Linked DNA regions of Coturnix japonica. The protein of the gene in region 1 purifies or fractionates together with the protein of each later gene. This does not show direct contact. Links are inferred from orthologs where the notes say so. Each region holds a gene or a part of one and is shown on either strand. Other genes may lie near its edges. The genes, in order: LRRC41 and DRG1.

The links.
Region 2: the proteins of LRRC41 (region 1) and DRG1 purify together in Homo sapiens (affinity purification with mass spectrometry; 3 studies listed by BioGRID and IntAct, counting the BioPlex papers as one, with this or other methods). This does not show direct contact. The link is inferred for Coturnix japonica from reciprocal best matches to the Homo sapiens genes LRRC41 and DRG1.

The regions. Positions count from the first base shown.
Region 1 is NC_029523.1:19,158,419-19,161,398, reverse strand, and holds the end of LRRC41 (leucine-rich repeat-containing protein 41), read left to right. Parts: intron 1-223; coding exon 224-299; intron 300-1,526; coding exon 1,527-1,761; 3' UTR 1,762-2,471; downstream 2,472-2,980. UniProt on the Homo sapiens protein: Probable substrate recognition component of an ECS (Elongin BC-CUL2/5-SOCS-box protein) E3 ubiquitin ligase complex which mediates the ubiquitination and subsequent proteasomal degradation of target proteins.
Region 2 is NC_029530.1:7,969,691-7,973,961, forward strand, and holds the start of DRG1 (developmentally-regulated GTP-binding protein 1), read right to left. Parts: upstream 2,873-4,271; 5' UTR 2,762-2,872; coding exon 2,720-2,761; intron 2,617-2,719; coding exon 2,493-2,616; intron 1,018-2,492; coding exon 842-1,017; intron 478-841; coding exon 408-477; intron 1-407. UniProt on the Homo sapiens protein: Catalyzes the conversion of GTP to GDP through hydrolysis of the gamma-phosphate bond in GTP. Appears to have an intrinsic GTPase activity that is stimulated by ZC3H15/DFRP1 binding likely by increasing the affinity for the potassium ions.

The DNA.
Region 1 (2,980 bases):
ATTCAACAATGTACTAAGAGTGCTGCATGAGCACTACAGTTGCTTATCTCTGTGGACAAACTGAAAATGAGTTGTTTATGCTGGGCATGCATGCTTTCAGTCTCCCTTCTACATAATATCTACGTAATCCCTTCTACATGATATTAATCTCAGCCCCTTTGCCATTCAGATATTTAAGATAGTTGCAAGCTGGGAAATAACAGCTGCATTTCTCCCCTCTTAGGGAATCACAGGCTGGTTGCCCTGGCAGACATTTTCTCTGAAGATTCCTCCTCTTCTCTTTGCCAGCTGGATGTCAGGTATTCTGTTGTTCTAAAGACACTGAATTTGTTTCAGGATGTCCAGAGCTCAGCTAGGCTCAGAATAGCAATGAAAGCCTGAGTACAGATTTTTTCTTTACTTAAGGGAACACATGGACAAGAAAAGTTTAGAGAATGCTGCAGTGAGCACTTAAAAACCTTAGGGAACTCCAGTGACTAAGGCCAGGCCATGCTCCCTGAGGTGCTGCACTGTCACATTTATAAATGAATCAAAGTTCCGTCTTAAAAGCAGCTTTCATTTTGTGCTCCCCTGCAAGGCTACTGCACACCTTCCTTGCTCTTAAGGCTAGAACTAATGTATCTATCTACACTTATTCATAGCCACCAGCGTGAACAGCTCTGTTCCCACTGCTCCAGCACAGGGAGAACACTGTCATTCCCCATCAGATCCTGCGAATGCCTCTGTATCCCTTTCATCTTCTTTGGTTTTCAACCTGAACCACTGCTGCTTTATTTATTTATTGAGCCTCAACAGCCATAAACACAGGCACTGTGTTATGTTCACAAAGCAGGTGGAAGGTGGCATTTCTGCAATATTGTTTTACTTGATTTTAATCCCATTTACATCCTAATGGCTCAGCTTACTGCGAGTACACAGGCATGAGAATCTAACCATAGCCATTCTTTCAGCAGTCTGGCATCCTGAAATTGTCATCTCCACTTGGCTATTATGTGCTGAGACTTAGTCTTGTGAAACTTTCTATCCATTTATGCATCTGTGCAAGAGAAATGATCTTTTAATCTAGAAATACGGGGATCTGACATCTCCTCTCAACGCTTTCTAAGAAAGAAATGATCCCTTATTGCTGAGGGCTGCATTGAGAGCTGTGGACTGGGTCAAGACCCTTGGGTCCAGTGAGCTGCTATAAGACTGAAGGGTGCTGACAGAAGCTTGAGTCCAACAGGATTTTAAGGTCATAGTGAAGACTAGTGCAGTTATTCATTAGGAGGCCAGGAGAGCAAGTTTTATGGTTTCTTCCCATAGTTGGTTTATAAAAGCTTTCAGCCCTTAATGCCATTGTGTTTCAGGAGCTGTTGGGTTTTTTTTTCCCCCAGTTTAAATTAATGGTTCATTCATACTCTGTATTGCTGAGGGAAGTTTGCATTGAAACATCCCCACATAGGTGGTTATTAGATGGAGCAGTAACTGCTCAAATTACAGCCTAGATTCTTAGTGACTTTTTTTGCCCTCCTTTTTCTGAGCAGCTCAAATTGCATCAAACCTGATGGGCTCCTGGAATTCACAAAGAAGCTGGAAGGCTACATCCAGCAGAGAGGGGGGAAGATTCAATTCACCCACTTACGCCTCTTCCAAAATTGGCTGGATCAGGATGCTGAGACAGCTCAAGAAGCACTTCGGCGTCTCAGAGCAGTGTGCAGTGTGGTCAATGACTCATGGGACTCTTCTCAGGCTTTCGCTGATTACATCAGTGTCATGTAAAGGACACAGGGCAGGAGAAAGCTGATCAGCATGAACTAAAACACTCCAGTCCATGGCCACTAAAACTTAGCACAGATGGAGGTTTTCTTCCTCTGGTTCAAGCAGGAGACAGTTCTTGTCACTTTTCTGTTCCTTTGAACAGTGAAGTGATATAGTGACCATTTGGGTCAACAGCTGTATTTCCAGTTAAAGTGGAACAGACATATTAAATAAGCTTCTATGATATCCTGCAGATCTCGACCGGGGTTTTTATACAGATTTCATGTTGGTTTACCAAATATCATATAAATAAATATCTCCACCCTTAGAGAAACTTGAAAGCTGCCTGAAAATAGACCCTGACAAGCACACCTAAGTGATGCAGTTTTTGAGCAGCAGGGTTGAAGAGGATGGCATCCAGAGGTCCCTTTCAACCTCAGCCATTCTGTTATAGTCTGTGATCCTTTAAATAAGAACTTCTCCTTCCACTTAAAATGAGTAGGGAAAAAAACCCAACTAAATAAAGCTCCCCCCCTTTTTGACCTTTTGTTTACCTTATAAAAAAAGCTGCATTCAATACAACATGCTGTTTGTTAGCAATCACTGATCAAGTTATCTGGGAAAATGACTGGTCCTGCCCCCATCCACTGTCTGCATCTTTTTTTTCCAGAGGCTTTGAAGAGTTGGGTTTTTTTTGTCATATTTTTATAATAAAAACAGAATTAAGAGAACCTACTGAAATGTGTATTTTATTAATGGGTTTTAACGTGATCTAATTAAAACACTTTGCCAGACATGGAGATCCTACCCATAATAAAGTAGTGACCAAAATGGAGCCTCATTTCCCCACTGTCTACATGTTCTTTAAGGTGAGAAGCCCAACATAAAATAAGAGGAAGTTTTTGGCACAGATTCTCATGATCCTGAATAACGAACCAAGGTTTATATTTTGTGACAGAAATGGAACCTGCACATTTTCAAATGAAGCTACCAATAAAAAACGTGACAGCATATCAAGTGCTTTAGAACTGCAGGCTTAACATAAACCTGAAGGCAGAATTTTGCTGAGTAGAAGGCACAGCATGGGAACCAGCACTGAATCTGATCAAGCACACAAGATCTCATTATTCCCAAGATGTTGTTTCTTGGGTATAAGACACAGCAGCAGAGACAAAGTGATGAACTCACCGCTGTTGCAGCAGATACTGACCAATGTTAAGGGCCTTCCAGCCTCTTAGGA
Region 2 (4,271 bases), on another chromosome or scaffold:
AGATACAACCCAGATCATTATGGTTTTTTAAATGTGCTGTAAGATTTACTGCACAGAGCAAGAACCAAAGATGCTGGAAAAACCTTCCTTTCTATCTACATTCAGACACACAAGGATGACAATAAGCTACATAAAGATGACAAAGCAGCATCTTTGTTTAATAGATTCTCATCTGCCTTTAAAATTGGTAGCAGATTTTCAAGGCTGTGTCAACATATGACTTTAGGTTTGCTGAATTTAACTGAAACAAAGGAAAAAGACAATGGCTAATGTTTCACATTGAGCAACTGAATTCCAGCATACAATCCAGCTTCATGAATGTGTCAAGAGCAGAAACTCAGCCATTCTCATAAGGCATAATAACTGAACCAGCTTTGGATGCTGCCTCCAAGCTGCACTACACTCACCTGCAATGACTTGCCGTCCTCTGCCTTTTCCATCCTTGGCACCTTCAATAATTCCTGGCAGATCAAGTAGCTGTTGTTCAGGAAAGGAAAGGGACATATGAGAAAAAACAAATGTTTCTCTTTAAGATAAAATCTATTTGTACCTTTCTTCTTAAGCTGCTGAATTTACTGCACATCTTAACAAGACAAAGAGCAAAATTATTTCCACTTTAATTCCTACATACAGTGTTACTCCTATGGAATAGATAATACCAGAGCATGAGAACTACCACTGGAACTGTTCTCCAGAGAAAAGCAGAATAAAATTAGAACCTCACAGAAACATTTCCAATGTACTCTCGAGCACTTTTACAGATAAATTCTATTCTATTCTGTCCTAATACCATTATATCTATATATACAGTCTTAACTTCATAGACACCAGAAGATCTCACCTGTATCTTTGCTCCTTTGTATCTAATGACTCCAGGCACAGTAGTTAGTGTAGTGAACTCATATGCTGCCACTTCGGAGTAGACACCAGCAAGATTACTGAGCAGAGTAGACTTTCCCACTGATGGAAAACCCACAAACCCAATGCGGGCATCACCTGTCTTTGCAACATCAAAACCTGCAAGGAAATGACAAGAATTGACAAAGCACCTAAAGCCATTTCCTCATCTCCTACAGCTCTGCAGAGCCATATCACCGTTAGTTTTAATATTGCCCGAGTGACAGACAGGTCAGCTTTCCTGACAGGCTAAGAGCAGGACCCAGCCCGCACACTGCACACTGCCCCATTCACCACCTGCCTGCAGAGCAGAGCACCGCAGATACTTGGGCTGCACTTCACCCAGCTGCTGTGTGAGCACTGCAGCTTCCCCCCCCCAACACACACACACACACACCTTTGTATGTGGGCACAGACGTCCATTTCACACAAAACCCTCAAGACTTCTGCAAACACACCGTTATACCACCAAAACGCAGAAGTTCTTTTATTTACTCTTCAGATTCAACTCAAGGCCTCGGGCAGGGCCATAACACAACACCAAGCTACGGGCAGGGCCATTACATAGCACCCTGCTATGGACAGGGCTATAACACAGCACCCTGCTATGGACAGGGCTATAACACAGCACCTGCTATTGACAGGGCTATAACACAACACCCTGCTATGGACAGGGCCATAACACAACACCCTGCTATGGACAGGGCTATAACACAACACCCTGCTATGGACAAGGGCATAACACACAATCACCTCCTGTTTCTATGGATAGGGCCATCAACAATCAAGCACCTGGCTAGTGGATCAGCGGCCATAACACAACACCCTGCTATGGACAGGGCCATAACACAACACCCAGCTATGGACAGGGCTATAACACAACACCCTGCTATGGACAGGGCTATAACACAGCACCCTGCTATGGACAGGGCTATAACACAGCACCCTGCTATGGACAGGGCCATAACACAACACCCTGCTATGGACAGGGCCATAACACAACACCCTGCTATGGACAGGGCCATAACACAACACCCTGCTATGGAGAGGGCTATAACACAACACCTGCTATGGACAGGGCTATAACACAACACCCTGCTATGGACAGAACCATAACACAACACCCTGCTATGGAGAGGGCTATAACACAACACAACACCCTGCTATGGACAGGCCCATAACACAACACCCAGCTATGGACAGGGCTATAACACAACACCTGCTATGGACAGGGCTATAACACAGCACCCTGCTATGGACAGGCCCATAACACAGCACCCTGCTATGGACAGGGCCATAACACAGCACCCTGCTATGGACAGGGCTATAACACAACACCCTGCTATTGACAGGGCCATAACACAACACCCTGCTATGGGCAGGGCTATAACACAGCACCCAGCTATGGACAGGGCCATAACACAACACCCTGCTATGGACAGGGCCATAACACAGCACCCTGCTATGGACAGGGCCATAACACAACACCCTGCTATGGACAGGGCTATAACACAACACCCTGCTATGGACAGGGCTATAACACAGCACCCAGTTCCGTTCAGCACACTCCACATAACACAGCCCGTCCCACGCACCTTCCCCCGGTCCTCCTCCTCCTCCTCCCTTTGGTGTGATCAGCTCCCTGCGCAGTTTCGCCAGCCGCGCCTTCAGCAGCCCCAGGTGATGCGCCGTGGCCTTGTTCTTCTGCGTGCGGGCCATCTGCAACAACGCGGAACACAGGGCTCAGCCGTCCGCCGGGCCCTGCAGGATCCCCCCGCCCCGTGACGGAGCGGCTCGGTGCCGGACCCCGCCGGCTCGTTACCTCAGCCTCGATCTCCGCGATCTTCGCCAATGTCCCGCTCATGGCGGCGATGGACCCGGACCTACCGACCGCACCGCAACTACCGACCGCACCGCAGCCTCAGGCCGCTCCTCAGGCCCGGCCGGCAGCGCGCAGGCGCACAACGGCTTCTCGCGAGAAGCTGTGGGCGGGAAGCGGCGGGCGGAGCGCTGCGCTCTGCTCACTGCTCTGCGCACGGCACTGCACTGCACGGCCGGAGGGGGGCGCTGCTGCGTGCCGTGTGCAGCGCCGTGAGGGGACGGGCGGGAGCGTGTGTGAGGGAGAGCGGGAGTGAGGGAGCGGAGCGTAGAGCCGGCGTTTGCTCTCACGTTATATATCTACATGTCAAATTGAACGTGGTTTATAATAAGAAGCACGCTGTGCCACGCACTGTATAGAGGCATTTAAAAGGATGCTTGCACAACCACCTGCTCCGCCAGCCGGGATTCTGAGAATTGCAGCACCCAGAATGTAACTTTACCACAGCTTTGCTTGTGGAATTGTTATACGTTGACCTACGGTAAGAAGTAAAGCAGGGAGAGCTCCTTGCACAGGTCTCTGTTCTCATTCTTCCTCTCCTGGTCTCCTTCCCGCCCCATGTGAATTAAAAAAGCCATCTTTCACGTCACGAGCTCCGTTACAGTTGGAACTGTCATTAATATGAGCTTATGTAGAACTTAATGAAATAGAATCTCAAATAAAGTGGGATTAGAGCTCCTAGTAATGTTAGCTCAGGTAAGCCAGGGTAAATACGAGTGCACCTACCGCCGTGTGTTTGTTCATGGAATTCTAATTATTCCTTTGTGAACAATACTGGCTTTTAACATAGGACGCAGCAGGTTCAGCACTGCCGTTAATTTCTTTTGCTTCTCACTTCAGTTGGAATTTGACTTGTTTGATCCATAGCTGAATTCAGCCTTTAGTCCCTGACATTTGTAGTCCTGTTTGGTAACAGGAAAAAACATGAAGAAAAGTGCAAATGTGGGATGCTTAACCAGACTGCCTCTGTATTTGCAGAAGGTATTGATAACTGCAGGGCTAAAGCAATGGCATTAGTTGTTTTCACAGCCCAACTCCAGATCTCACTTACTGTGTCAAATTAAATCTACAAGTGTGGGATGAATGAGCAGAGATGTCAATAAATGACATTCTTAAGACAAAACTGCTCAGTACACAACCTTAAATCCTTTTTTTTTTTTCCAGAGAGCTATTCAAGCAAAGGTCCTCTAAGGACCTGAGGCACTTACAAACTTCTATCAGTGTTGAAAGGAGTAAAAGTTTCATTGAGATCATTTGCCCTATTATTTTTCCAGAAAACAACAACAACAACAACAACAAACATTTTCTAACTGGTCTGAATATTTGAAGTAGTTCAGTATTTGTAGTGTATTGGTTTATAAGAGCACCCTCTATGAAGCTTCAGAAAGGCTTATGCAGTTGTAGGGGCTGGTAGGGACCTCTGGAGAGGTTGGTTCCATGTTGTGAACGGATTTACTGTGATGACTCTCATGGTTTTTTGAATACAAGGTGTTAT